Pelodiscus sinensis: one gene and its partners. The protein of the gene in region 3 purifies or fractionates together with the protein of the main gene of each other region. This does not show direct contact. Links are inferred from orthologs where the notes say so. Each region holds a gene or a part of one and is shown on either strand. Other genes may lie near its edges.

Evidence for each region.
Region 1: the proteins of SIK2 (region 3) and PPP2R2C purify together in Homo sapiens (affinity purification with mass spectrometry; 3 studies listed by BioGRID and IntAct, counting the BioPlex papers as one, with this or other methods). This does not show direct contact. The link is inferred for Pelodiscus sinensis from reciprocal best matches to the Homo sapiens genes SIK2 and PPP2R2C.
Region 2: the proteins of SIK2 (region 3) and PPP2R2A purify together in Homo sapiens (affinity purification with mass spectrometry; 3 studies listed by BioGRID and IntAct, with this or other methods). This does not show direct contact. The link is inferred for Pelodiscus sinensis from reciprocal best matches to the Homo sapiens genes SIK2 and PPP2R2A.

The regions. Positions count from the first base shown.
Region 1 is NC_134715.1:112,514,476-112,524,273, forward strand, and holds the start of PPP2R2C (protein phosphatase 2, regulatory subunit B, gamma), read right to left. Parts: upstream 3,878-9,798; 5' UTR 3,027-3,877; coding exon 2,840-3,026; intron 1-2,839. Other genes in the region: uncharacterized protein LOC102462366, read right to left, coding at 5,797-5,907. UniProt on the Homo sapiens protein: The B regulatory subunit might modulate substrate selectivity and catalytic activity, and might also direct the localization of the catalytic enzyme to a particular subcellular compartment.
Region 2 is NC_134738.1:8,921,699-8,931,827, forward strand, and holds the start of PPP2R2A (serine/threonine-protein phosphatase 2A 55 kDa regulatory subunit B alpha isoform), read right to left. Parts: upstream 4,912-10,129; 5' UTR 4,827-4,911; coding exon 4,790-4,826; intron 4,052-4,789; coding exon 3,974-4,051; intron 1-3,973. UniProt on the Homo sapiens protein: Substrate-recognition subunit of protein phosphatase 2A (PP2A) that plays a key role in cell cycle by controlling mitosis entry and exit. Involved in chromosome clustering during late mitosis by mediating dephosphorylation of MKI67.
Region 3 is NC_134736.1:6,544,305-6,554,221, reverse strand, and holds the start of SIK2 (serine/threonine-protein kinase SIK2), read right to left. Parts: upstream 4,933-9,917; 5' UTR 4,790-4,932; coding exon 4,640-4,789; intron 4,404-4,639; exon of another isoform or gene 4,083-4,403; intron 1-4,082. UniProt on the Homo sapiens protein: Serine/threonine-protein kinase that plays a role in many biological processes such as fatty acid oxidation, autophagy, immune response or glucose metabolism.

The DNA of each region.
Region 1 (9,798 bases), on a different chromosome or scaffold from region 3:
ATATATTTCTTATCCTGCTCAATGGGGACGTTCAGCACCTATTGGTGAAGCAAAATAGATTTGAAGTGCTTTGCAGTTCACTTTCCACTGGTGATTGCTACAACACTTGATGAATTTCTTAAATTATTTATAACTGCCACCCCCATTATCAGCCAAGGGCATAGAAGGGTACAAGAGTCATAGCTGCTTTTTCATTGTACTGTACTCATTGATGCTTTCCCTGCCCACTTAAAGGATGATGTGGCCTCACAAAGTAGTTGGAATCTGATTTTCAAGTGGTTATGGTATGGGAAATCATTCATGGGTGTAAAATCCCACTTCCCCCTTGCAGAGAGCAGCAAGAGGTTAGAGAATTTAACAGCCTCTCTAGTTCAGTGAAACAAACAGACCATGTAGTCATAATTTTGATGTTTTTCCATTTCTTTCCTCCGAGTACGTTGAAAATCACAGGTTTAGATTTAGAAGAGGGGTATAAGAATTCTTCACTTTCAAATTCCATTTGGCTCAAGCAAATTGTTGATTCTGGGCTACTGCATTGATTTAACTTTCATTTTTATTAAATTTTATTGTTTTATTTTTATTGTTATTGCTGGGAGCAAGGCAAGAATTATTACCCTCTCTTGTTTGCATTAAACAGACTTTGTATTTGGGTCTGGCCCACACCCAATGTTGCACCTGTTTAACTAATCGTGTATTTTTAAGCTGCTATAGTATTAACTCAATCATTGTGGACACTACTAAATTGATTTGAAACCTGACATAGGCGTTTAGCATACTCTGGTAAATGTACAGGCCCAAGTTGGACAGATAAAAGCAGTTAATTGTGTCCAACAGAGGTTTCCACCGATTTAAATAAAATCAGTTTTTAAATCAATTTTAGTTAAACCAATTCAACTTGTGTGCAAACCAGGCCTTTGTCTTCATCACTGGTACTGACACAGCCCCTTCTAGTACAGATCATCTGTGTCAATGCCCCCACAAAGCACAGAAGGAGGAACATCTGCTTCATACCTTCCTGCCACAAGTACCACTGGACAAAGGCTCTGGTGCTCAAGCATTGTCTAGGTCAGTGGTCATCTTCCAGTAGATCGGGATCTACTGGTAGATCTTGGAGCCTCTGAGGGGTGATCCTAACTGGTTTGGCCAGAAGGCTACCAAGTGCTGGCACTTCAGCTGCTCCTCCCTCCACTACGGTGCTGCTCCTTCCCTCTGCCCTGGAGCTGCCCCCAGGAGCCTCCTGCTTGCTGGGCAGGGTGGGGGAGACAGAGGAAGGGGTAAGAGGTCATGGTGTCCCCTCTGTACCCAATCTCCACAGAGTGAGCAGGGGGTGGCCTTCGTGAAGGGGTGGGGCAGGCACAGGGCCTCAGAGAAAGAGCAGGGCAGGATGGTCTAGGTATGAGGTAGGTCCTGGATTGACTTAAATTCAAAAAGTGATCTTTTGCCTAAAAAGGTTGGAGACTACTGGTCTAGGTAGCGAGGCTTAAACTGCATCATTAGCTGGTCACTGTGCAAAGGGGAAGAAAGTGGTGAGCCAAGGTCATGGTGCTGCTATCAGGGCTGCTACTGTAACCACCATGGAGAATGATTTTCCGCCCCCCTCCCCTCCATTTTTGTGGCTGAACTAAACAATCACATTAATAAGACTCTACAAGTAGATCAGTTCCACAGAATAAATGTGAGATTTTGCAGCATTCTCCCATGAGTCCATGACAGCATAGCTGCTCTGATGTTTAATACATTTTGGGGGTTTTTTTTTTTGGTTTTTTGTTTTTTTTACTTCTAGGCAGAGAAGTGCTTTGAATCAGACAAATTAAACTTGTTGCAATGTGGCTCCAGGCATACCTTGCTCAGGAGGGGAGAAGCCAAAATGGTGGCTGAAATCAATCCTCATAGATTCTCTTAGAGTTTGAAAAGTTCTATTATTAGGCCTATGAGTTTGATTGAGCCAGCATTAATATCATGTTGGGTGTCAGAATATGGCAGGAGATTAATTATATTGTTCTGTTTTAAAGCAAATCCATAGTGAACATGGCAGCAGTGGGAAAAAATCAACAAGCAACATAAGATATGTACATGCTGTGACAAGTCCTGAAAAGGGATTGCACAATCTTTCATCACATAAAATCCCATAAGAAAGAAATGCAGTACATATATCAAATATTTGCTAACTGAGCAGGGCTCAGGCAAAGGGTGTGAGCTCTGAAAATAAATCAGCTGGCTTCTTGCCACAGTCAACTCATGGATAAAAGTAGGTCAGGACAACTGGGCGTACCCTTTAAAATTTAGACCATAGAAATGTTGGTCATACATAGTAATGCAGGCAGCTGTTAGCAAGGGGAAGATCCTGAAATCCTTACTGGTGAGGCTATCATATAATTAAATACTTACTAAAGTTTCCAACAAGAAAACGATTCAGACATGTTGCTGACCTGCAGCTCAGAGGGTATCCGTTCCTTATTAAGTACTAAAAGACTTACCCAGCATTGCCCGGGTTCTTCAGGGAGGGGTGCTGGCATTGTGGGGGTGCAAGAGTCAGGGCAGAGCCTTGGAGATGTAGGGGCAGGCAAGGCAAGAGGGTGGGGATGTATATGGTGGGGTAAGAGATGCAGAGAGGTTCAGGGCAGAGGGTCCCATCCAGTGGTGCTTTCTCTCCCTCCCCCAGCTGTTAGGGCCTTTTCGTCTCTCTCCTCCCTCCATCCCCCCAGCTGTCTCAGCCAGTAGGGCCTTCTTTCCACCCCACCCCCCTGCTCCTCCCAGCCATCACGGACCTCCCTCGGCCACATGCTGTGGGCAAGGGCTGGGGGAGAGGAGAAGGATTCGGGGCAGGGAGACTACTTACCTGATCTGGTCACAAGCAAGGCGGTGGAGCCCCAGCCCTTCTGGCCACTCTCTTGGTGGTGCATCTGCCTCCCAAGTGGTCTCTTTGCAGCATTGCTCTCCCCTGCAGGCTCACTGCCCCCAGTGGCCATTCTGAGTATCATGTCCGTCCTCGGTGCCCCTCCCTTTCCATTCCCAGCACTTCCCATTTTCTTGGCATAAGTAAACCCTGACTGTGCTTTAAGTTAGGATAAGAGGAAGCTGCGCTCCAAATTTGGTGCTCCTAGCTCTTACTGTTTAGAACAGGGTTTCTTAAACTGTGTTCCGTGGCACACCGGTGTGCTGCGAGGCAGTCGGAGGTGTCCTGCAGAGAACAGAATTTAAAATAGCCATCCTTAAAGGGGCAGATCACCTTTTTTTTTCCTCAACAAAAAATCCTTGGTGTTCCTCATAAAAAAAATTGTTTGGTCCTTGGTCTTAAAAGGTTTAAGAAACACTGATTTAGAAGGAGTTCTTGAACAGACAGACACACACACACAGACAAGCTCACAGACAGGCAGACACACAAATCTAAAATATATGTAGAGATGTAAGTATTTTACATGCAGTTCTAATCACTGGTATTTGGGGAAATAGATTTGTTGCTAGCCATTTATTACTTAGGCAGCTTCTTAGATCAAGCACTAAGTCTTGATACTAAAGTTGCCTTCAGCTTTACAAATTGTATATTTCTTCTAAACTCCTTTCACTGAACTTGATATAAAACTTTCCTAGGACGTTATGACCTCTGGACTAATTCACACACTCACCCTGACTAGACCAACAGGCATTTGCAAAGATGCTACTTCCCAATTACTAGACAGGACATTTCAGCCCTGAAAATGCAGAGCTGTGAACAAAGTAATTTCATTTTTCCCCTTCCCTTTGTAAGATACTAGTACTCTCTCTGAGAGAGAGAGAGAGAGAGAGAGAGAGAGGAGAGATTGAATGATCATGGAAAGAATAAGACAACTGTACTTTTACCAGCAGCTAAAGGAAATGTATTTTAACTCAGCTGTTAGAGAACTGTGTTTCTGGAGCTCATAAAATGTCTAGCTCTAAGTCCCTAGATCTGTGTGATTTATGTAGCAATTCTGTGTGTCATCAGCTATACACAAATGTATTAAAATACTTCTCCTTTCTTCCATCTCTCCTCCTGCAACCTATGTACAATTTCCAGTAGATTCTGCAGTGTGATATTAAGAACACTGGAGAACAAAATAAACTAACTAATTAATTAACTACAAGCAAACAGCACAGAACAGTGGCCAATCTGATGGGTCACCAGTCACATCTGTGATCTATAGAAGAAAAGTTCTTCATGACACTTTTATGACGGTTTTATCCTACACTGAAGAGAACAAACCTGTAATGATTAAAATTATGAAAAGAATGAGAGACACCAGTGCTTGTGATTTAAATGACTAAAATATAACAGAGAAATAAATAAGACAATCTTGTTTTATTTACATGTAAGTTAAATACAGGTCGATTTAGGTTTAGTGATTGAGCGATGCACTGTTACCAAATGACTTTCTCTCTCTCTCTTTACCACAAACATCAACACAAAGAAAATACTTGGAAACCATTCCCTTTTCATTGAAAAGGTGCAGAATAACATTTAAAGTGTCTCAGCTGTTGCTGAGCAGTTTGAAAAAGCCAGTCTGTGTTTGTTGGCACCCTCAGGGTCCCGCTAGATCAGTACCCTCTTACATAATGATAACATTTGCTTACCTGTGCCTGCTTTTGAGAAAACAATCCACAGAATGAGCCTTAGCAGCAGACAAAAGATTTGCTACACAAACACACTGATGTTTTGGCCACTTACTCTGTTTTCAATAAGCCTAAAATATTAAGATGCTGCATTTGTTTGCTGTTAATGTTTGTCTTCTACTAGGCTTATAGAAAGTCCATTTTTAATCTTGTCTTTAGTTTTTGAACAATTTTTGTGATTATTTTTGAGGTTGTCAGAGAGGGAAAAAAAACAGTATAAGATCAGCCTTCAGCATCCAAAATCTTATCCCTCCAAAGTGGGTTATAATTAGCTTTTATTAAGTATAATATTCAAACTGTAATTTATTTCGCACCTATGCTAAGATAGGGTAATGAAATCTAATTTTTCAGTGCATCTGGTGATCACCACAGAGGCCAGGAAGGATTTCATCCTATTCAAAGTATTGCCCAACTGTCTTGGTGATTATCAGTGTGCGGTTTTTCTCCACCTTCCTGTAAACCAGTGTTTCTCAAACTGTGGTCTACGGAGGAGACATCTCCAGGGGCTCCATGAGGCTGACAAACTAGAAACATCAATAGGTACAACACAGACAATCAGTGGATCGCTGGGGCTCCACATACATTTTTATTCATGTAAAGGTCTCCGGAGCTCAAAAAGTTTGAGAACCGCTGCTGTAAACCATCATGTACTCTCCATTGCCTGAAGCAGCATGTTTAATAGTTCAATGAGATTTAGTTTGGCAAATCCTCATAGTATGATTGTGTATCATGCTCCTGCACACTAGGATGTGGAAAGTGGGGGAGAGAAAAGCCGCTACATCACAAAAAACTCCCAGGTAAATAGCAAAACAGGGAGATATCAAACTTTTAAAACACCACCAACAAAAGATTCCTGGAATTTGGCATGAGTCAATAACACAAATACTCTTCCCCCATTATATTGAACCAACTTTACTACTGGTACCATACCAGCTTTGCTGTCACAGTGGTGTGCCAGGGACAGCAAAGAGACTTCACTGGGTTTGAGTTGTATACTGCAAGATCAAGAAGCAAATTATGCTATGATACTCTGTGGCCTTGCTAGTTTTATCTATATCGCATTAATGATAAGAACTTTCAGCCCTGGACTGTCAAAATGGGTGTAGGGTCCTTGTTGTCTTCCTCACATCTTCTGGATTTCCCAGATGCTGTAAGTCATGAGATTTACTAATCTGCTGCATTGGATGAAAAAGCAACAGAATGTTTGTTGTCCTCCTCTTTATCTTCATTTTGCTTCATTGCAAAATAATCAAGGGACTCGTAAAGTGTGGAAGTAACCTTGAAAAACCAAAGAGAATTCCCATCAAATTAACTTTTTCTATTAAAGTGTGTTTACCACATGTTGTCTAGACTAGGGCTCAAGGAACAAAAAAGGAACACGATTAGCGGTATCTCAAAAGTCATGGAGTTCTACATTCAGAGATAAACCCAAGTCACAATATTTGAATTCAAGTACGAAGTCTTTCCAGTGTTTGGAACCAGAGGTTTCATTTATCCCATTACAGGAAGAGTCCAGCTGCAAAATTCTCACTTGGATCTGAATCCCACACAATTTGCTGTAGTTTATCCAAAATTTTAGTTCAGGTCTATTCCTATTTTTAAATGGCACCAAAAATGGGCTGGAGTTTCTACCGCTATGACTTTTCAAGTCCCCACTACACATGGTTTTATTCATAAAACCATAGTTCTTTTACCTTTAACTGCTATTTTTTATGTAATTTATCTAGTGTCCAGTTACTAGGGTATCTAAGTGCTATTTGGAGCGGTACATCATGTCCCAGTTTTCATTTCATGGGTATTTGTGGATAAAAATGTTTGAGGTCTTTAAATGAGATCTGCAGCAAAAAGCAGGGAGACCTAAATATCTCCCCCCAGACCTATATACATATGTGTATGCACAGCACAAGATTCTGTTACACTTGGGCTACGTCTACACTTCAGGCTTCTTGCACAAGAACTGTACTGCGCAAGAGTTCTTGTGCAAAAATTCTTGTGCAAGAGCGCGTCCACACTGCCTTGTGCTTTTGCGCAAGAGATTTGCTTTTGCACAAGGAACATCCATGGAAGTGTAGACGCTCTCTTGCGCAAGAAAGCTCTGATGGCCATTTTAGCCATAGGAGTTTCTTGCACAAGAAACCCCTGTTGCCCATCCATGCTGCCTTCTCGCACAAGAGCTCTTGCACAAAAGGACTTATTCCTCATGAGGAGAGGAATAGCTTTTGTGCAAGAAGCCCTCTGTTCCAAGGCTTTACTGTAAATTTACTTGCTCAAGAACGCATGTGCAGTGTAGACACTCTGCAAGTTTTTGTGCAAGAACAGCTGGTCTTGCACAAAAAGCCTGCAGTGTAGATGTAGCCTAGGTGTGTAAGCCACAAAATCATCTTGATAACTCTCCCGAATTTCTCAACTTTGTACTGTACACAGAAATGTGATAATGGAAGTCAGGAATTGGATGTTTTTTAAATCTGTCTTCACAATACTGCTTTGTGCTAGGTATTATTGTCCCCTTTTACAGAGGGGAAACTGAGGCCCAGAGAGATGAAGTGACTTGCAGTAGGGAATCTGTGACACAGCCAATAATGTAACCCAAGACTGGATTCTAAGCCCTGATCATCTTCTCACTCCAACAGGAAGAAAACAACTACAGCTGCCTATGATACCTAAACAAGTAGAAATTGTGGTACTCCCAGCTACATACCACCCTCTTTGTAAGAACATAAATCAGAGATGGTAGATAGATTTGCACTAAATATAAGATGCAGATACAGACTTGCATTGACATAGATTGCAGCAACATGGCACTTGCTGTCTCCTAATGTAAAGCAGGGAAAAATATAGCACAACCTCATCTAAAAATAATCATGAAAGGAACCAAAAAACTCTCTAAAGTGCTGCAAACTTCTGTGAGACCGGTCACCAGATCGAACTAATAACAAGGTAGTCTTAGAAATGAAAGATCACACTTTTAAAATAATCAAATTCGGTTTTAGAATTTAAAAGGCACAGTGTATATAGCACAGGAAACAAAGCAATATCTGTTCCTAACTTTTAGAAAAGTTAGTTTGGAATATAGTGTAGCGTCTAGGTGTAAGATATTTACTAGCTTCACTAAACTAGAACCATTGCAGTTTATGGAGTCTCTTCAATGATTTATGAGTTCCATTTACAGCAATGGAAACCTGTGGCCCATAAGTTGCATGCAGTCCATCTGTGTGTGACCTTTGAGTTATTGTGTACCATTACCCACACACAAGATTGCCAAATGTCACTGTTTTTTCCCCGACCAGTATGGATTACTCAATAGGCAGACTAAGCATGTGCTTAGGGCACCAGCAAAGCAGGGGCACCAAAAAATGAGATTTGATGGTATAGTATTGTTTTTATTTTGGGGGCACCATAATCTTTTCAGTGCTTAGGGCCTCTAAAGGTCTTAATCTGGCCCTGAGTATTACTAAAGTGGTACACATGTAAAGCAAGGGTACATGAAGTGAAGTGGGAGCTGACTGCACACAACATTGACTGTGAAAGCCGTGTGCTCCCTCTACATCCAATCAAAGCACTGCTACTGTTCAATTGGCACATTGCACAAATTCTAAGTACGCAAATGCAGTTAGCCAAACTATGTATCCTGGGAGACCATCTTGGTTATGACAATCTTGTGGCCCACAGAGAGGAAGGAGGGCCACTCACACAACCTATTCACTAACCTAGGTTGCCCGTTGCTGATTTAATCACCCTGCATTTTCATTAAAAAAAGAGAAAGGACTTTGTTACATAAAGGAACAAACAGATGCAAGGTCATGACAGGAGGCGACTGTGTCTCATAGTCATTTAGTTATGAAACAGCAGCAGAACTTTCGTTATTATAGTCACACATCTGGTTGACTCTTGTTGACCATGCAAGTCCATCCCAGCTAATGACTAGCAATGAACAGATTGCTTTCCACCCTAACTTTGATGCTTGCCTTCTCATTCCCAGCACTATTTTTCATAGAACCATTTTTCTCATGGCTGAGGTCATTAATAGCTTTTATTGGACCAACAGAAGAGGGGCCACTGAAAGATATTACCTCACCCACCTTGTCTTACTAATATTCTGGGATCAACATGGCTATGATGAGAGTGCAAAAATTATTGTGATATTTCCCATAGTATTACAAAATAAACTGTTTAAAGGCAGGGTGAATCCGTGCATTCTGGTGAAGAAGTTTTCAATTATATTTCTTTTCCAAAAAATTACTCTTGTCTTGACCATTTAAGCTTCCCTCTTCCCTCTGCAAATACCAATCAAGTTTCAGTAGTGGTAACAACACCACTAATGTGAAACTGAAAATGGGGTGAGAAGCCAGAAACCTCTGTATTTTAACATCAGCTCTGTCAATAACCACTTCTGTGTCCTTTGGCATTTTGCCTAACCACTTTGGGCTACATTTAGTGCAAGCCTGTGGCACACCCAGGGATTTCAATGGAAACTGTGTCTGCTAGAGTTGAATTTGATTTTTTGTGTCTCAAGCTGCATCTATACTACAAGCCACTTCTGCAAGAGGAAATGCAAACGGAGCACTCATTTGCATAGGTCACGCTCTCAATTGCATTTCCTCCTCGGATCCCTGTTGCACAAAAGGTTTTTGCATAAAAAAGAGCTGTGTAGATGGCTCCTTTTTGCGCAAAAACTCCCTTTTGCACAAGAGCCGTTCTTCCTCAAAAAATTAGGAAGAATGGCTCTTGTGCAAAACAGGGGTTTTTTTGCACAAAATGGAAGCGGCTACGCTGCATCTTTTTGCACAAAAACCCCTTGCACAAAAAGAAATGGCAGAAAATATGCTAATGATGTCATGACTTATGCTAATGAGTCCCTCATTAGCATATTTTCTGCTGCAAAAACGTGTAGTATAGACATAGCCTCAGTATCCCAATCTGTTAACCTAGGTACTATGGGAATTGATCATTTAAGCTTTATACAGTGGCTTGATTATGTCAAAGGCTATATTTAAGTGCTAGCTCCCCTCCCCAATACACAGTTACAGCTAGTGTGCTTAAGGTTAGGTGACTAACTTCTGAACAAATGGAAATCAGACCCAGCTGTGAATTTTTATGCCACTGACATTTATGGCAGACTCTGGGCCAGCTCTAGGCCCTGATGGAGGTACAAAGATGGCTTAATGAGCT
Region 2 (10,129 bases), on a different chromosome or scaffold from region 3:
ATCAGCTTAGCCTTATACAGTAATTCCTCGCTTAACACGTGCCCGCTTAACACGATAGCGGGATTTATTTTTTAGGGGACATTTTTCGAACAACACGACCCGTCCCCGCAATAACACGATTTCCCCTACCGGCTGGCCAGTTGCCAACAGCTGCGCGGGGCTTCCCCTGCCTCCTTACAAAGTAGCGGAGGTTCGCCACTCCCCACGCCATTCCCCGGCAACCCCTCCTTGCTGGACGCAAGGCACCCGGCCAGAGGGGGTCGCCGGGGAACAGCGCAGTGAATGGCAAACCTCTGCCGCTTTGTAAGGAGGCAGAGGAAGCCCCACGCAGCTACCCGCAACTGGCCAGCTGGAGAAACCCAGCCACTGGCTGCAAGCCCCCTCCCCTGTCCTTCCCTTCCCCAGAGCCAAACACCTCCCCTCCCTGCTATAACCCAGTTCCCTTTCTCCCCCAACCTTATGTCTTGGTCCCAGCTGCTAACAAGTGCAGGCTGGAGCTGCGAGCGCACGTGCGCTTGAAACGCAACCCCCACCTTTTCCATTATTTTCAATGGGAAAATTGACCCCGCATAACACGTTTTCACTTAGCATGATCATTTTCTTAAACGTATCTACTGTGTTAAATGAGCAGGGCTCAACAAATTAGTCAATCTACTCGCCCAGGATGAGTAGATTTTAAGCCGGCACGGCGCCGCAGCGTGATCAGCGCAGGCGTAGCACGGTCTGCGCATGCGCAGAGTGCCAAACTGCACGGCTGGCAAGCAGGGCTCGCTGCCGCTTGTCAAGCCCTGTAAATGAGGAATTACTGTACAGGCAGTCCCCGGGTTACGTACAAGATAGGGACTATAGGTTTTTTCTTAAGTTGAATTTGTATGTAAGTCGGAACTGGCTCCAGATTCAGTCGCTGCTGAAACTGATCAGCGGCTGACTAAAGGAAGCCCTAGGCAGAGTTGCTCTGCCCCCCGGCTTCCTGGAATCAGCCGCTGATCAGTTTCAACAGCGGCTGAATCTGGACTCCTGGGACAGAACAGCTGGGGCACTGCCGGGTAGGTCCCCGCAGGACCAACCCGGCAGCACCCCAGCTGCTCTACCCCAGGCGTCACGCAACAAAAGCCTGGTCTGCTGGGGGGTGGGGGGGGCGCACTAGTTGCGCCCCCTCCCCCCCCCCCCCCCCCAACAGACCAGGGAGACCCGAGCAAAGCCGCGGAGGCGCAGAGGTCCCGCCGCCTCTGCGGCTTTGCTCCGGGGCAAAGGAGCAAAGCCGCATGGGTAGCGGGGTCCCGCTGCCTGTGCGGCTTTGCTCGGGTCTCCCTGCTGTGCTGGGGAGTCCCCCCCAGCACACCAGGGAGACCCGGAGCAGCTTTTCTCGCCCCGGAGGACGCGGTGGCAGGACAGCTGCGCTCTGGGCGGTCCCGCCGCCCGCGAGCTCTGGGGCGAGAAAAGCCCCGTTCGTAAGTGCGGATCCGACATAAGCCTGATCCGCGTAAGTCGGGGACTGCCTGTACTTCTTTCTATGCAATTTAAAGGAGACACTATACAATACCAGACATGTCAAATGGTAGTCCCAAATTCATAAAGAAGATGATTAAAACATGTGTTTCCTGAGTACATAGGTAGTACTACCTCAAATGCAAGAAAATAAACTTAAGAAATGCAATTAAACACAGGGTTTAAGCTACTGGAACAGTATTTCAAGGATAAGAGACATCTCCAGTATACGAGTACCTTTAAATAGTTGGGTGGGAGCTTAAGTAACTGTTTGATTAGATGGACAGACATCTTTCAGTTGTTCTGTAAGGGTTTTCATAATGCTATATCAGAGTCATCCATATGGGTAAAAATTCCCACTCAACAAAATCCACTATGGTCGGTTAGCCCCATTTAATTTTCCTAGGACCTTACTTAGGCAGCTATTCCAGTGTACATCTCGACTACAAAAAATCCCTGTCTTCAAAATCCCAGTCTTCTTCTCCCCCATTGAACACTAAAAAAGCCTTTCCAAAAAGATGATATAAGCTGACTATGAAGTCATACTCTTGTCTCTATCTAGAAAAAGCTTGTACAATGAGCAACTCAGATCCTTTTTACAATTAAAACCAGATATTTATACAAAAATTTGTTAAAAGCAACACAGTCATGTTGAAATGCAAGTTAGTTAGGGCAGGGTTTCCCAAAGTGTGCTCTGTGGAGCCCTGGGGTCCAGCAGCTGCTTGAGAAAATATTAACAACAATTGTATGACCCTGTTATTTTGTCACTAATTTTCTGATATATATTCCCCCCCCTTCAGAAAATTAAGAAATAAACAAGAAATAAAAACAGAATTTCTAAACTTTGTCTGTCTATCTGGGTACCTATTAAATTAAAAATCATTAAATTTTAAGGCTCCACAAAATTTTCAGGACCCATGGAGGCTCCCTGGCTGAGAAAGTTTGGGAAACCCTGAGTTAAGGTATTGTGGCTAGCTATTGCAGCTGTCAGGAAGTTAAATCATCTTTCATACTCAGTGTAGGAACTATAATATTTAAGAACCAAGAGGGGAAATTAAGAAATAAGTCTGGCTCTTGGATTTCCAGATCTTTGGAAGAGCCATTTAATCACAGCTGTTTACTACAATACAAAAAAAAATCCCACCACACCCACACACGCAACACAAAAATTCACCCCCATAAAAACCTTATTAACAACTACCACCCATTACTATATGTAACGGAACAGATGCCTGAACATAAAAGGAAAAGCTCTAATATTCTTCCGTCCTGTTCATAGGATTCATCTATCAGTGGAAAATAGGCAGAGTCAAGATTTCCTCAATTGTTTACATTTAATTCAAAAGCCAGGTAGCTACAGAATACCAAACAAAATCCATAAAAATTGAAGTCTGGTAGGAAAAAAACTATACAACCATTATCTAAATTGCCATTAACATTCAATCTTGAATGCTAATTGCTGAACAATTTAAAATATATCCATCTTAGGCAAAATATATTAGAAGTTATTGAAATCTGTTACAACCTATTTGTTTCTAAAGCCTTTCAGTTGCTAAGCATCACACAAAACTTTTGAAGAGCACCATTTCCAGATATTTCAGAGGCAGATGGCTCCATGGGAGCGGGTACATGCACAGGGAGGCGGCTCTGTGGGAGCTGGTACACACGGAGAGCCAGTTTAAAAGCCAGCTCCCTGCATGCACCAGCTCTCGCCACCCCACCTATGCAGCCGCGACAGGTGAGGGGAAGGACTGTGTGTAACTGTGCATGTTAACTCATGAGCCCAGGCTCATGGATTAACCATGTACACATTCACATCCCTAACAGGAACCTTATACTACGAAAGTGTAGAGGCAGTTTCCACTAATAATTCATCATGAAAAATAACTGATACTTGAAAAGCTTGTACAAAAAAAGCTTGTAATTCTGATTTATAAATCAGCATGGAAAGACTGGGAGATGTTTTGCATAGTGTCAGATACATTACATCTTCAAGGTGCTGTGCAAACATTCTTTAGAGGGTTGTTGCGAGAATTTATGAAAAATATCATTATTCCCATTTCACTGATGGGGAAAACAGACAAGTTAGTCCCTCAGTCTCAATGGCCATTACGTGTCATGTGACAGATATTTTGGAAAACAAGTTAACTAGTGTTGCAATCTATGGGGCAAATTCAATTCTAACAAACAGCAGGAGGACCAGGGATATCAGCTGAATTGCACTTCTACCATATACAAATCGGATCCCAGAATATACTGGAATGACAATGTTTCTACTTGCTTTCCTACTTCGCTAAAATTATCTCAGAGGGGTAGCCATGTCAGTCCATAACTTCAAAAACAATGAGTGGTCTTGTGGCACTACTGATTTGGCTAAAATGACGTTCAGTAAAACCCAGTTTTGGAGGAAATACTTCAGCAACACCCTTGCTAAGTTTAACCAACAGCAATCAGATGTAGTCACTGTGAAGAAGTTTGTTCTTACCTTCTGCTACATCATCATCTACAGCCCCTTTCACCTGAGAAAAACACCACTGAATGTCATTCCCTCCTCCTCCAGCTCCTAGAGAAAGCAAAACAAATAATTGATTCCAGTAAACGGAGATGGTAGCCACCGCTGGCAAGTGACACAATTTAGTCAGTACTGGACACACCTACAACAATCAAAATTTCTTATGCAAAGACATAGGTTCCAAAACTTGATTACAAACTGTCTCTCTGCAACTCCACCACCCACCGCCTCCCCGCCCTGACAATGCTTTTGCCCGTGATTTGCCCAATATTTAAAGCAACATCTGTCAACAGTAATGATAGAATGACAAAAGTTGCTCTTTGTAACTGATGAAAAAACTCACAGAACTATCAAAACAAGCACGGCTAGTGTTAATAAAACTACGTTATGTTAAAAATGAGCAACAGCTGGTATATTTCACAACACTTTTTTAATATAAAAACTTCAGTGCCCTCTAAAACATAGAGCACTTCACTTACAAGGGACTTAAATTTCAAAGTAAAATATTAGGTGCGAGAATGGCCCTAACAAGTTTTCCAAATATTTCAAATAATTAAATGTTGGCACTTTATAAAAAAAAAAGGAAACAATTTTTCTTTTGCAAAATACTTTATACCGCTTAAGTACTTCAGACTAGAGGAAACAAGTTTTAAAGCAAGTTTATAAACCTCTTCCCTCCTCTGTCGTAATAGTAGCTAAAGAAATTGTCAGGCTTAGATTTTTTTAAAAGCAAGGAATCTGTGCAGCAAACTGAACAATCTGCCTTAAGCTAACAGCAAGTATAACTACCGTAGAAAATGGGTCGAAGAGAAAACTTCAGGAACATTACCACCTCCGCAGAAGGTAGTGATTCATTTGAACCTCACCACCCAAAAGCACACAAAAAAAATCCACCCCTTTCTTTTGCATTTCATTCTTAGCAAATCACTGGGCTGGGGTCCAGACAGGAAGAGAAATTGAAACAAGTTTGCTCTGTCTGCAAGAGGATATCAAAATGGAAATTCCTTCTCAACCCACAACCAAAAAAGAACAGATGTATCTTGTGAGGCATTAATGTGATGCAACATTTTTGGGGAACAAGAGGGGACATGCAGGAAGGATCCTTCCCTACCCCACCCACACCAAGTTGAGGAACAAATTAACTTAAGTTCAAGTTAGCAACAGCAGGATGATCCCTCTCTCCATGAGGGATCAAGAGGCTGCTCGGGCAAAGAGGGCATGGGGAGGCGGAGGAATAAACCAAAAAGGATTAGATTGTAATATCTTTTTGGAGCTTCTTACAAAGTCCAAGAATTAGGAAAGACAACGTGAACTAGAATCAGCCAAGGTGATGGGGAAATCTTATCATGATATCAATCTACACCAGTGTTTCTCAACCAGTGGTACGAGTACCCTTAAGGGTACACAAGAGAAGTCTGGAGGGGGGTACGTCAACACAACTGAAATTTGGAGAAAACTGAATTTTTTTAAATTTTACAGTGCTTTATTATTTTTGTACTTTTTACACCCAAAAATTTCATTGCCCGCCTGGCTACGATTAAGTTGTGTAAATAAATGTCCTGCAATGGTAGAAAAAAAAGTGTGTCTGAAATCTGTAGGTACTGGGGGTACTTATACATGTATCAAAAACAAATATTGCAGTTCATATTGTAAAGATCAGCGTTTCTCAACCTTTTTTTTTTTAAGTACCCCTTTAAAAAAATATAACTGTAGGTACTGGGCGTACTTTTTTTTTTTTTAAAGGGGTACTTAAAAAAAAGGTTGAGAAACGCTGATCTATACAATATGAACCGCAATATTTGTTTTTGATACATGTATAGGGAAAGTATCCCACTTTCAGCATCTTTCACCAACCATCCAAAACCCCTATCCATCCAATTTCTCCTCTCCCCCCTCCCCCCATCTGTATTTGACTCTTACTTTTAACACCATGGAAAAATTTTGAGAATGTCTGTTTGCAAGAAAAAACATTATATGCTGCAAACTGTATTTTATTTTTTATGCAACTTGCTACATTAAAGGCCTTGTTTCAGCAGATTCAAAAGGGTGGAGTGACATAGCCTGGTGTGTGTGCGCGTGTGGGAAGCAAGGTGCAAACCTAAATACTGCCTCTCATGCTGCTCTAGAAAATGCATGGCACTGAAGAGGCAATTAATTTGCAGAAGGGGGAAATGAACATATCACCACAAGAAAGAGACAGGGACATCCTATGCATGTGGATAATTTTTATCTTCCAAATTGCTCTTTAGGATGCAAGATAAACAACCTGAAAAATGGAGAATGAACATAAATCTCCAGAATTAAGAAAATTAGACATACAACCACCATGCATTATTGCACACGCTCAGAGAGACTTGAATTTTCTAAGAAACTACATCCTCTTCCCAATTTCACCTTTCTCTGCAGCTACCCACATAGCTGCACCCGACAGTAGGGTGCAACTGCACTCTAAACACAATCGCATCTGCACCCTACAGCCACTCTCCTGTACAGATCTGCACCCCCTTCAACACAACACATACGTGCAATTTCCTCGCAAAACCAGAAAGTCTGGGGAAGCCAAAAAAAAAGACACACCCAGCTTAGAAACCTCCTAACACGCTGAACTTCAGAAATACAAGGCTTTTTCCCCCAGACCTCCATCCACCTTCTTCCTTGTGAAACACAAATGTGTTGCAAGCAGGGAAGCAAAAGAGGGGAAGGAGCACAGATTTCTAGAAGGGGAAAAAAAAATAGGACAAGCGTATGCAATGCAAAGGGCACTTCAGGATTCAAGGTTTTAGGAATGCAAATTTTTTAAAAAGGAGGAAGAGAAACCGAGCCCACACTCCGAGGGAGGAATAGCCACCAGAGAGAGGGAAGGAGGAAAAGGAGACCGAGGTGCCCAGCAAGTCCATGCCACCTCCACGCACAGCAGGCAGCAGCAGCTCAGCGTGGCTGGCTGATTCAAGGCCATTTTAGCGGCCTCGCCTGCCCCTCCACAGACCTCCCCCCGCCCCCTGGGCTCTGTGGGCAGCGGGGGCCGGCCCCCGGGAAGGAGGGGGCTCGCTCCCCCTTACCTGCCATGTTGGGCTCCCGAGTGGCCGGGTCGGAGAGAGCGGCCTCCCGGCTCTCCAGGCGGCCCGCTGCGCCGGGCGGGTGGCGAGCGTGGAGGGAGGATGGCGGCAGATTGTCCCCCGGGGGGGGGGCGGTGCGAAGCCGGCTCCGTTCGGCTTCCCCCGCGCTCTTCGCGTCGGTCTTTCCTTGCCAGCCCGCCCCCCCCCCCTTCTCGTTCCAAGCTTCCAGTTTCAAAATGGCGCCGGCTGAGCTGGGGGGGTGACGTCACTCGGAGAGGGGTAGGGGCGGGGTGAGAACTCCAGAGAGAAGGGAGGGGACAGGAGGGGCGTCCGGGGAAGACGGTTGGTTCGGTTGCGTCCGCGCCTGCGGCTCTCGCTGGCGCCTCTCGGCGAACTCCTGCTCACCAGCCCCGTGCGCTGTGCTCACTGCACCCTGCACATCTGCCCAGCTGTGCCCCAGCTCCTGCCGGCTGGATCCTCGCTGCACCCGCACATCTGCCCAGCTGTGCCCCAGCTCCTGCCAGCTGGAGCCTCGCTGCACCCGCACATCTGCCCAGCTGTGCCCCAGCTCCTGCCGGCTGGAGCCTCGCTGCACCCGCACATCTGCCCAGCTGTGCCCCAGCTCCTGCCAGCTGGAGCCTCGCTGCACCCGCACATCTGCCCAGCTGTGCCCCAGCTCCTGCCGGCTGGATCCTCGCTGCACCCTGCACATCTGCCCAGCTGTGCCCCAGCTCCTGCCGGCTGGATCCTCGCTGCACCCGCACATCTGCCCAGCTGTGCCCCAGCTCCAGCCAGCTGGAGCCTCGCTGCACCCCCACATCTGCCCAGCTGTGCCCCAGCTCCTGCCAGCTGGAGCCTCGCTGCACCCGCACATCTGCCCAGCTGTGCCCCAGCTCCTGCCGGCTGAATCCTCGCTGCACCCGCACCTCTGCCCAGCTGTGCCCCAGCTCCTGCCGGCTGGAGCCTCACTGCACCCGCACATCTGCCCAGCTGTGCCCCAGCTCCTGCCGGCTGGATCCTCACTGCACCCGCACTTGTGTGCATTGCACCCGCACATTTGCCCAGTCGCACCCACTGCACCCGTGCTATCCCCACGGTTTGCCGGCTGCATCCTCACTGTGCCCGCTGTGCCCACTGCACCCCACCTCCTGGGTCCTCACTGCACCCACACATTTTCCCAGCTGTGCCCACTGCACCCCACCTCCTGCCAGCTGGGTCCTCACTGCACTCACACATCTCCCAAGCTGTGCCCACTGCACCCGCACTACCCCACCCCTGCCTGCTGCATCCCAGCCCATCCCAGCCACACATCTTCCCAGCTGTGCCCACTGCACTCAGACCTGTCCCCACTTCCTGCCAGCTGCATCCCAGCCAGGGGTGCTGGAACAATTTTTAGTGGGGGTGCTGACAGCTGTTGTACCAAATTGGAAACCCTGTGTATAATGGAAACCACTTCTAGCTAGGGGATGCTGCAGCACTCCTACACCCCTAGTTGCCACACCTATGGTCCTAGCCATTCCCACCCACTGTATTCACTATACCGGCACATCTGCCCAGCTGTGCCCACTGCATCTACATGCATCTCCACCTCTTGCTAGCTGCACCTCAGTAAGCTGCATTCACAAATCTCCCCAGCTCCTACCACTCTACACAGAACCTGCACATCTGCTCAGCCCTTCCCATCAACTGAATATCCATCAACTTCTCTGCTCCCTGTGACCACTGCACCACACCTCCTCCTAGCACCTGCCACAAACATTCATTTCTCCTACCCCCCTGCCCTGTCTCCATCAACTATGTTCCCTAACAGGGCATACCCACTTATTGCTGGGCACACTGCACCTCCACCTCTGATCAACCGCTGCTTGCTACTTCCCTGTGCCTGTCAGCACCAGCTGTGCTCATTTCTCTGGCCAGCACTTGCCATCTGTGCTGCACCCACAACTGTACCCAGGGTCCACTAGCTGCTGGAGAAAAGGTTCTGATTTGGGCTCCCTTTGATTCATGTTACAAATTAACACGGCGCTTTAAAGAATTAGCACCATATTCTCTAAAGAATTCGGGTATAAACCCCATCCTGGGGAGGTTGTGTGTTTTATTTGTGCTGTTAGATGTATCGCATTAAAAAAGGCCTGGAATAGATTTCAGCATCTGTGCCCGAGAAAGCCGCCTTCTCAGTGCACCAATCATTTCTGTCCTAAACTATTTGTCAAAGTATTTCTCAGCCCCATTCCTTATTTCAGCCAGATGTTGAGTCTTCTCTGTCTCTCTTCACTCCTCTGATGACATTCCTCATTCAACTTACCCAGTATTTCTCTGTTCTAGCCACACCCCCCGTTTGAATGCTCTCCCCTCGCCCCCACCTCAGGATGGTTTCCACGACATCTGTAGCCTTTTAGTTCATATTTTACTAGATAACCCTTCTCCGTTCTCATTGCTATTCCTTGCATATACCCAACCGTGCTCCTGAGCCATTTTTAGCCTACATCCACCTTTCATCCTGACAGTCTGTAAGATCTACAAAGAAAGACTTCCAGCTGAGACCAGCTTGGCACAGCTCCTGCCGGCTTGAAAAGGAGGAAGGCTCTCTTTTAGCTCACTAGGTCCCAGGTCAAGCCTCAGCCGCAATTAACATGCAGGACTCGGATAAATGACTCCATCTAATAAAGTTAGCACCTTGCAGAATTCGTCAGGTTTGCGTTAGAGAGATTAGCATAAATATTCCCTTTGCTTTCCATCAGCATGGGGTTCTCAGACCTCAACTTTCACTTTGAAATTCCAGTGCGAACAGATCTAAAAATTCAATGATTTTACATGGATTGAAATGAGAAATCAGACATCAGCCCCAAGAAGAAATTGGGCTGAGATTCAGGACATCTTATTGTAGTCCCAGTTCTACCCCACAAAAATCACTGTGTGATGTGGAGCAAGCTACTTAAGTTAAAATGTTCATTGATTTCGTGTTTCCAGCTTGAAACACTCGACTAAGGGCCTGATTTTCTTAATAGAGACCTCCCCACTATTCCTATATAGCACTAAAGGGTTGTATCCAGAGGTGAAACTAAGCGGATGT
Region 3 (9,917 bases):
TAGACTTACCATGATAGTGTAAAACATTCTAGCCTAGAGTAAGCCACTTACCAAGAGATCAATCCTGCAGAAATCAGTCTCCCAGAGTTTGATTTAGCCGGTCTAGAAAGGACCCACTAAATCGACTGTTGATGGCACCCATGCCTGACTGAAATAATGTAGTGCTTCTTCAATACGGGTTTGCTCCAACATAGCTACATCACTATTAGCTTCACTTAAATCAGGTTAAGCTAAACCAATTTGTGGGTCTTGTGTTTTGAACTAATGCATCATGCATATGCACACTTGATCTGTCATCTCCTATTTTTTCCTTTGTCCTCCTGAACATAACTTCTTGTGTCATGCTCAAATCTATTTCTCTGATCAAATCTGTACTGCATGCAAAAACCTACCAAGAATGCAGCTGCCTCCTCTCACACATCTAGTACTGACTGATCTTACGGGGAGGTAAGATCACTATATCAAACATTGCTGAGAATACATACCAATTACTACATTTCTATTAACTTTCACATTACTTCACTTGAGTGCACAGATGCAAAATTAAGGTTGCAGTTATATGATTTCACACTTAATTTAGAACTAGTTTGCAACACTCCACATTCTGAACCACCTTTTCTTATGTACACATTCTGCTTCAGTCTAATTTGACCTTTATCTGTATTAGATTAATTTAATGACAAGTAAGTTTAAGGCCTGCAGCATTTCATTACAATTCCATTACGTAGGATCCCACACATAGGATGGATTCTGCGTGTAAACCAGGTTTATATACTTCACAGATACTGTATTTTTAAAGTAATCTCTATCAAAAAAATTTCCTACAGGATGACAGTGACATCATAACGTCACTCTGCATCCCACCTCACCCTTCCCTGGGGGCCCTGCCCCAGGAGCCTTACCCAAGTGACCACTCCGAGAAATGGGGGTGAGAGGACGGTGGCTCCGTACCCGCACGCCCCCCAAGGCCCATCCCCAGCCTGCCCAGCCCACTTGCCTGCCAGGTGTCTATGCTCTGTGTGCCCCGGCCCGGGCACAGAGCTTGGGGGCCACGACGCAGGTCTCCCCTAGAGCAAGCCACTCTGGCGTGTGCCAGTAACCTGACACCAGGCCACTGGCTCAGGCACGCTCTCCTGGGTCCACCACAAGCTGGGCAGGTCTTAGCCACACCATAGGTCTTGAGCAGGTCTTGGCCACTTTAAAGCGGCCACTCTGTGCTCTGAGCTCACTAAGGAGCAAAGTGCCCCAAGAAGTGCATTTGGAAAGGCTGGGCTGGGAGTAGGCTGTGGCTCCTGCTGCAGTGGCCGGGGCTGTGCTGCCCAGCACAGTGGTGTTCCTGGGGGTTGGGGCATGCAGCTTGACAAATTCACGGAAGGAGGCAGGGTGTGCGTAGCGAGGGAGCAAGGGGGAATAATGTGTGTGTGAGGATGGGTGGTGCAGTAAGGGGGAATGGTGGGGGTAAGAGGGATATAGGAATGGAGGCAGGGGGATGGGCAGTGGGGGGCGCAGAAGGGGAGGTGTTAGGGAAGGATGGGGGCGCAGGAATGGAGGAAGGAGGTATGGGTAGGGATAGAAAGTGTGGGGTTAGGAAGGATGGGTGAGTGCAGGAATGGAAGCAGGGGGATGGAGGTGTAGGAATGGAGGATGGAAGTGAGGAGTAGGGATGGAAGGAGGGGAGCGGGCTGTGGGGCATGGAGCTCCAGGATAAGGACTAGTGGCCCAGATTACTCCACCAGGCTCTCTTCCTGCCTGGCCCAAATCTGGTTCTCAGTAGGGCACAGGCATGTTAAGCTGGGAGCTCCCCCATGGTTCCATGGTTCTCCATCATGCCCTGTCCAAACTAGGGATATTAAATATTGGTTAACTGAATAGTCGATTAACCTCATGAATTCTTATCAGTTAGTCAACTATTCTATAGTCCCTGGGTGTGGGGGGGAGGAGGGGAGCAACCAGTCGCTTACATCTCTACAAACTTAAGATAGTCTTAAAATATAGGAGGTTAAATGTGAGATGAGCACAGAGCAACTCCAGAAATACACGTACGTGTTATTAGCTACACACTGAGTTTCAATGTTCTCCCTTCTAGAAGAATCACTGGAAGCCTCAGCAGATCAAGAACCCTTCCAATGTCTTGCGTGTACACATGTTGCAGAGCTGGTGGAACTCACTGGCCTGAATTTGAACAATGTACAGCAGTGGTCCCCAACCCAGTGCCTGCGGGCGCCATGGCGCCCGCTTAGTGACCAGGGCAAGCCCAAGCCATTCTTGCGCCCCGGGCACGCAGTGCATGCCTGGCCCGTACCCCGGGCACCCGGCAGCCCCAAAAGGTTGGAGTCCACTGATTTACAGTACTGGTACTTGTTCAGAATGTTAATTTCCTTTTCCATTAGTGAGAGTTAATAAGGTCCCTCTCCCTTGCAATTCAGCTAGCTGCACCTACTAACCAAACCCTATGCTTATAGATGTCTTGTTGTAGAAAGAAGTGATTGTGCAAAATAAATAAATAAAAGAGTGTACAACCTGGTTTAATCTCAAAATTTTGGAAACAGAAAACCTGCTACAAAAATTATGGGTAATATATAGGTTTAATTTGAGCTGGATCATGTGAAATACAACTGTTATTCATAACTTCACTCTGCCATTCACAGTCCTGGAATCACCCCCATCATGGTAGTAGCAATTCACAACGTGAACTATAAAAACAGCTTTCAAATTGAACACAGCATTCAAAGCCCTAACCAAAATGCAAATCTATTTAACCAAATGTAAACTTATTTCTACTGACCTTTAGTAAAGTTTTTAGAACGTACTTTAGTTCAGGCATTTTTTAAGCTAACTTGAGTCAAACTGAGTGTTAAGTTGTTTGGACTTTATATAATTTTAAGTTTTCATAAAACCGAACACAGATCTAATATCTGAATTACAATGAAAAGTTATGATTGACACAGCAGTGTCACTGAGACCAGATGACTGAAGACCAGAAAACAAATAGATTTATCTACTGCCTTATAAGTGAAACATTAACACTGTAACTCAACATGACTTAAAATTCCAACTTCCAAACTTGGGTCATCTTTTGTAGCAAGGAAAGGATTTAAAAAGCATTTGACTTGGTGCCTTTACTTCTTAAACTGCAGTTTAAGCCATAACTTGATTAAATTTCCTTTAATGCTTTGGATTTTCATAGAAGCACAGAAACGCAGGGTGGAAGGGACCTCAAGGTCACTAATATTGTGCACAGTTTTGAAGAGTGACCACTACTATGTGCCTTCAACAATTTTAACAGTCAAATTACCATTGGAGTTAAAAATGTAGTTCTGCCTCCTGTCTATTGATACTTGTATCATTTAAGATCACTGTGAGTGAAAACTTACAGCTTTTAATTGGTTTACTTTGTGCTTTTGACATACCGTAGTTTTGTTCAGTTTCCTTGTCTATGTGGATCATTCACATCACATCAAAGGAAAAGGTTTATTAAAAATAGGAAATATAACAATTAAATCCATGTAGAGGAACTGAACGTATTCATTTTTTTACAATGATTAATCAATGAGATCCACACATGCTGCTTCCATCAGATATTTAATATTTTAAAAATATATCTAACTACCTTTTTACCAAAGCAGACTAGTAGTATAATTATACATAATGCATAAAATAATTATGGTTTTCTGAAACTGGTATTGAATGGATAACTTGCATTTCTGAAAAGATGACTGTTTTTAATTTAGTACCCAGACAGGCTGATTCAGGGGAATGGGATATGAAGGAATCATTCTTCAAACTGAAGTACTGAAGCTGGCCCTAACACCTGAAGATACTACCCGGAATGCAAACGGGACAGCAGAATAAGGAACAATTTAGCCTTTTGGATTCAAAGCTGCAGTGCTTGATTTGTGCTGGGGCTTGCCAGGTTAGACACATCGTAGCCCCAGCACCCTTGCACTTGGCACCTCAGGTATGACAGTAAAATAATCGCCTGCTCCCTTGCACCTAATGGTTTGCGCCCCAGCCCCTCTGCAGTTACAAATGAGGCGCTGCAAAGCTGTTCGGCGTTGGGCCGTGACAAAGAGATCAGCCACCTGCTGACCGCTCCTCCTGAGCTGACCATCCCGAGACCCGCGCGGGGAGGAGTTGTTCTCCACCGCTTCGCTCCGCCACCAGCGCAAGCTGGCCCCAGGAGGGGGGGGGGGATCCTCAGCCACCGTGTCTTGCTAGCGCCGGTACCGGCAGCCGCAGAGGGGCAGGCAAGTGCAGGCTCCAAGGCAAACCCAGCGCCCCGTCGCCGGCTCGCGCCTGTCCGGCTGCGGCCGCCCCAGGGGGCCGGAGGAAGCTCGCTCTGCTGTCACGGTGACTGGGAGGGAGGCGAGCTCCAAGGGCGAGTCCCCCCCCCCCCCCAGCCGGACCCCGCGGGCGAGAGGCGGGGGGGCGGCTCCATCCCCGGCCCCGCGGCGGGACAAAGGGAGCCGCGGGCCGGCGGCGCGGATGGCTTGGGAGGGCAGGGCGCACCTGGTGCCACCTCCGTCCTCTCGGCTCCGGCCCCCGTGGCGGGGGGAGGGGAAGGGTCTGGCCCGGCCCCGCCTCCTCACGAGCCGGTGCCCGAGGGCGGCCCGGTCCCCCCCCGGCCCGGCCGCCTCACCTCGCTGCGCGTGATCCGGTGCCGCCCCAGCTTCACCACGGCGAAGTTGCCCTTCCCCAGCGTGCCCTCGATGTCGTAGAACCCGACGCGGACGGGCCCGGGCCCGCGGGGCAGCAGCGCGGGGGGCCGCCGGGGCTCGGCCATTACCATGCTGGGCTCGGGGGGCGGCGGCGGCTCGGTCCGTCTGCGGCCGTGCGGCGCCCTCCAGCCGCGCCGCCCCGCCCCCTCCCCCCCTGCTCCGCGCGTCACCGCGCGCGTCAGCGGAGGAGGGGTCTCGCCATGGCAACCGGAGCCACCGCCGCCGGAGGAGCAACGGCCCCCTGGGGCTGTTCCCTGCGTGGCGCCCCCTCCCCCGGCAGCGGGGCTCTCCTCAGAGCTGTCCCCAGGAGCGCGCCTCCCCTCCCCCCCCTCCGCGCCGGCTTGTGCCTGGGCGAGGCCATTCGGGGGGGGGGGGGAGACTAGGCTACCTACACGCTCCCCCCCCCCCAGCCCTAGTTAGCCCTGGCTGCCTCTGCTCCCACAGCTGCTCTACCCAGTGGGACTGAGGCCTGTGGGGGAGGGGTGCACAGAGGCTCCCCAGGGGTGCAGCGAGGGGGCACCCCATTCAGCAGTTATCGGGAAGGGGTCAAGGGGGGGCAATGCACCGTCCCAATGCTACCATATGCATTGCTGGCAGGACCCCCTCATTGCACCCCCCCGCCCTTCCCTCCACCTCTGTGCCTGTCACTTCCCTGGGCCTGCGCCCCCTTCCTTGGGGGCATGGAGCGAGCTGGGCCCCCAGACCTGCCCTGCTGCTGGGCCAGTCCCACCCTGCACCAGACCAAGGAGCTTCGGGGGATTAGGACACAATCAGATGCACACACATTGCCCAGCGCTCACCCCCCCTCAGGCGCCCCCGGCAGGGGCCACTTCGCCCCAGGCAGATGGCTTGAGGGCTGACAGAAGCCCGGCTCCCCGTGGGTAAAAGAGGCAAGGGAAGGTGATGCCTATACAGACTGGGGCCAGGAAGCAGGGGCCATGTGCCACTAGGGGCCTGTCCCTATGGGACGTGGGGTTGGCTCCCATGGCGGGCCTTGGGCAGCAGGGATGGGGCTGGGGAATTGCCTCTCCCAGTACTAGGTTCACCCACTACCCAGGCTCCAGACAGAGGCCAGGATGTCCAGTATTGTATTAGGCTAGCCTGGATGGGCACCACGCACTAGGTACTGTACAAACCTGTAACAGACATCATCCCTGCCCCACATAGTCTCATGAGTCCAATGTGCTATGTTACTCTCCCCTCTGCATCAGCAGTGGCTCATGTACTGATGTATTTACTGTGTGTACCTGTACTGAGGAAAGGTTTGCCAAAAATCATTAATTAGCAGAAAAAGGAAGCTACACTGTTTACTTCTCCACCCAAAGCCTCCAAGTTGGGCCTGTGCTTGCTCAGTCAGCAGGATGGGGATCCTCCACATTGACTAAATTCACACCTTAACAAAGGACAATGGGGAAACTGGTGTTCACCTTCAAAGCTACTATTTTCTGAAGCAAAATAACCTACTTCCCAATGACAGCAGCATTTCAACTGGGCGAGGATCACATCTGTAAGGAAATACCCCCAGTACATACACACCCCTCCTTGTCAGTAAGAGCACGAAGCTCTTGCGTTGGGCAGTGTTTCCAATGGGCCAGCTACGGCCCAACGGCGACATTGAAGGCTGTATTGGAGGCTTTGATTGCTGATGAAAAGTTCTGAAATACAACTTCAAAATAACATCCAGGGAAAAAATTGCAGCTGAGAGAACAGCCTTTCTGCAGATGGTTTTGCTACCCCGATTCACATCTTGTTCTGCTTCAAACAAAGTGATCCACCAAGTACTTTGCACACACTTTTACTTTTTTACAGTGACCTGTGTGATCTCAAAACAAAATATTGAGGAATTATATTCAAAGTCAACTTCACTAACGATCCAAGAGTATCAAATGTGAAGCTCATGTGCCCTCTAGTGGACAACTGCCCTATGTATATTAATAGATCACTGTAGGTGTTATAAATTTAAGGTGTCAAAGGAGATCTTCTGATTAATTTCTCTCCTCTGCACATATTACAAATTAGGATAAATCCAGCATATGAAGAGATCGCAGCAATGACACCGACAGTTGTCTGTGCTAAAAGATAAAATGAGTTGCGCTAAAAGATAAAATGAGTTGCTAGAGAAGTCTGGCCAAAGAAGGCTCAATAGTCCACTAATCCCCCACACTCATTCAAAACTAATTAACAGCTTCAAGCAAGAAGAAACCAAAGGCACCTACTTTCAAAGATAAAGTCAGAAGACAGGCACTTCTCCCAAGATTTTCAGAGCCAGTTGAATCCATACCTGAGGCAGGGAATCAGACTGAATCCCATACAAGGTGAAAGCGCCTTTGCAGTGGTCTTACCAGGGTAATCTTAGAACTGTTCTATCCACATATTTCAGGTCTTTGCACTGGTGCTGCAGTGAAATTTTCACCTTCATTAGTGAACTCCACTGCTAAAAATCAGACTGTGGATGTTTCAAGGACTGATGAGCAGTCTGGAATATGCTTCCCTAATTAAGAGATCATCATATTAGAGCATTCACTTACTAGGTGAAATGGGAAAGCTCTGGTAAGTACAATAGTGCAGTATAGAGTCACAGCAGTTCCCTAGAGAGAAAAAGTTAGTTCATTGCCACCAATATTTGTTGTTGACCTCTGCCAGTAGAGACAATGCAGACCCATTTGGTCCATCCTCACTGCCTGAAGAAACCAAGTTAATTGTGGTGTCAAATCTGCCACAAGTTGCGATAGCTTATGGTACATTGAGTCTTCATAGTGAAATAACAGCAAACTAAAATATTGTTAATATTTAAAGTGGTGGATTAGACATGGACCTGCAGTTCCTTTGTTCTAATCCTAGTTCAGCCAATGAGTTGCGTATTCTTGGGCAAGTTATATAACTCCCGTCCATCATCCCAAAAGGCACAGTGCCCAAGCAGTGAGGTTTTATTGATGGTTAATTGCTATACAGATCCAAACATGGAGAATGTGGGATACAAAGCATCAGAACTATATTTCTAAGTTGTTAGGCAGTAATATTCATAGGTATATACTTCAAGGAGAAAGTTGTGTGGGGGACTTTATTCTTAGCAAGGAGGCCACCTATGTGCCCTCCAAATTATAACCGAGTACTTGGAATCCTGTCTCTAACTCAAGACAAAGAGGAACAGAACTGACCAGCGGGGTAGAGAGATGCCCACATGTCTTGTTTTGATAGTTGAGATGACATACCTTTTCCTTAACTGAATCACACTTTTACCCAACTGACAATTGTGACACCAAAGAACAAAATAGATGAATTTTTTGCAACGAAACAGGGTTACAAAAAAGGCGAATGCAATTTTGGGCTGTTTACAGGAAGAGACCCTGTCACAAGACTGGGAATTAGTCATCCTCCACCAGGCCCTGATCCCACCATGTCTGAACCTTGGCATCACATCTTGTAGGCATCACATCATCTGTGAGCACTGTGTTCAAAAAAAAGAGAACAAAATATCTATACCTTGGCTAAGGGGAAGGACATAACCCTACCGTTAAAGAATGGAAACATCAATGGGAAGGCATTTTTTTAGTGTAGCAGTGCTGTATGTGTAGGAGTGATTGGATGAAAAAAGATTTTTTCTCCCTAATATGCAGCTTAATCAGAGCAATGTATTAGGCTACGGAACCCTCTCATCCCAAAAGCAATGGAAGTGCAATTGCTTGATGCTTAAAACAAGGCTGAACATAAGAACGGCTGTACTGGGTCAGACCAAAGGTCCATCTAGCCCAGTAGCCTGTCTGCCGACAGTGGCCAGCACCAGGTGCCCTAGAGAGGGTGGACCGAAGACAATGATCAGCGATTTGTCTCTTGCCATCCTTCTCCAGCCTCTGATAAACAGAGGCCAGGAACACCACTTCTATCCCCTGGCTAAGAGCCTTTTATGGACCTAACCTCCATGAAATTATCTAGCTTCTCTTTAAACTCTGTTATAGTCCTAGCCTTCACAGCCTCCTCTGGCAAGGAGTTCCACAGGTTGACTACACGCTGTTTGAAGAAGAATTTTCTTTTATTAGTTCTAAACCTGCCACCCATTAATTTCATTTGGTGTCCTCTGTTCTATGAAACAATCTTGTATTGGTTCCTGGGAGAGGGAAAGGATGATTTACCATCTAGCTTCTTGTTCTTAACTTGGATATTCTGTGTCTGTGAAATGGTTTGGAGCAGATTTATATTACTTTCATTAATTATAAGTGTGAAGGTGAGAGTGTTTCACTAGTTTCATCTTTGGTTTCGCTGGTGCCTGCCCTTTTCCAAATAACTTGGGTTGATTGCCCAAAGGTGAACTCAAACATATCTGACTGCAAGAAAGCACGTTTTCCATTAAGCTTTTGCCTCTGTCCCACAAGCAGCAGCTATGAGAGGAGTGCAGGAATCACATCTGTTAAACATCAAAGAAACTTTTTTTATCTCTGACACAAGCACCTGTCCTCTTTCCAGTCTGAAAGCAGCCTTAAACTTGAAGGAAAAGGGAACACTTTGGCACTGAAACATTTAACTTGTTCCTGCACCAATGGCTTGAAAGGTCTCCACAAATGGCATGCTAGATAGGCGGTGACAAGTTCAAGGAGACTTGTTCTTATCAGTTACTGTCACCACCATATTTAACATTTTGATTTCAGAATGAGGAAAGAACACAGCTGATGTGTTATTCGCTCCCCTTCCAGATAAAAAAAAATGAATGTAGGGAGCTTTAATATTTAGGCAAAATGTTTCAAAATTAGTTTACTGAAATTAACTACTTAAAACCATATTTCAACACCTAAATATCTGGCCTGAACTTCAGAGGTGCTGAATGCACTTAGAGACTTTCACTGACTTCAATGAGAGCTGCAAGTTGTTAGTTCTTTTAACAATAAGGACATTCATTTAGTTACCAAAATAGGGATGTAAGAGCATACACACCCAAGTTTTACTACGTTGCCTGAGCTTTGTACTCTCTTTACCTGTTTTTCAAGGACTCAAAGTTGCTTATGTTCTGGCTAAAAACAGAATATTTCAAGATCTGAAGAATAAAAAAATGAATACACATACAGCTGCTTACTATAATGCACTAATTCATTTAATGAATCCCAGGAAGTTAGCTATCACCAGTCAGTGGCTACCCCCTTCCTAGTGCCAATCATCAGCAATTGCCTAGCATTATCCACACTGGTAGTCAACTGGCAGGTTATCATT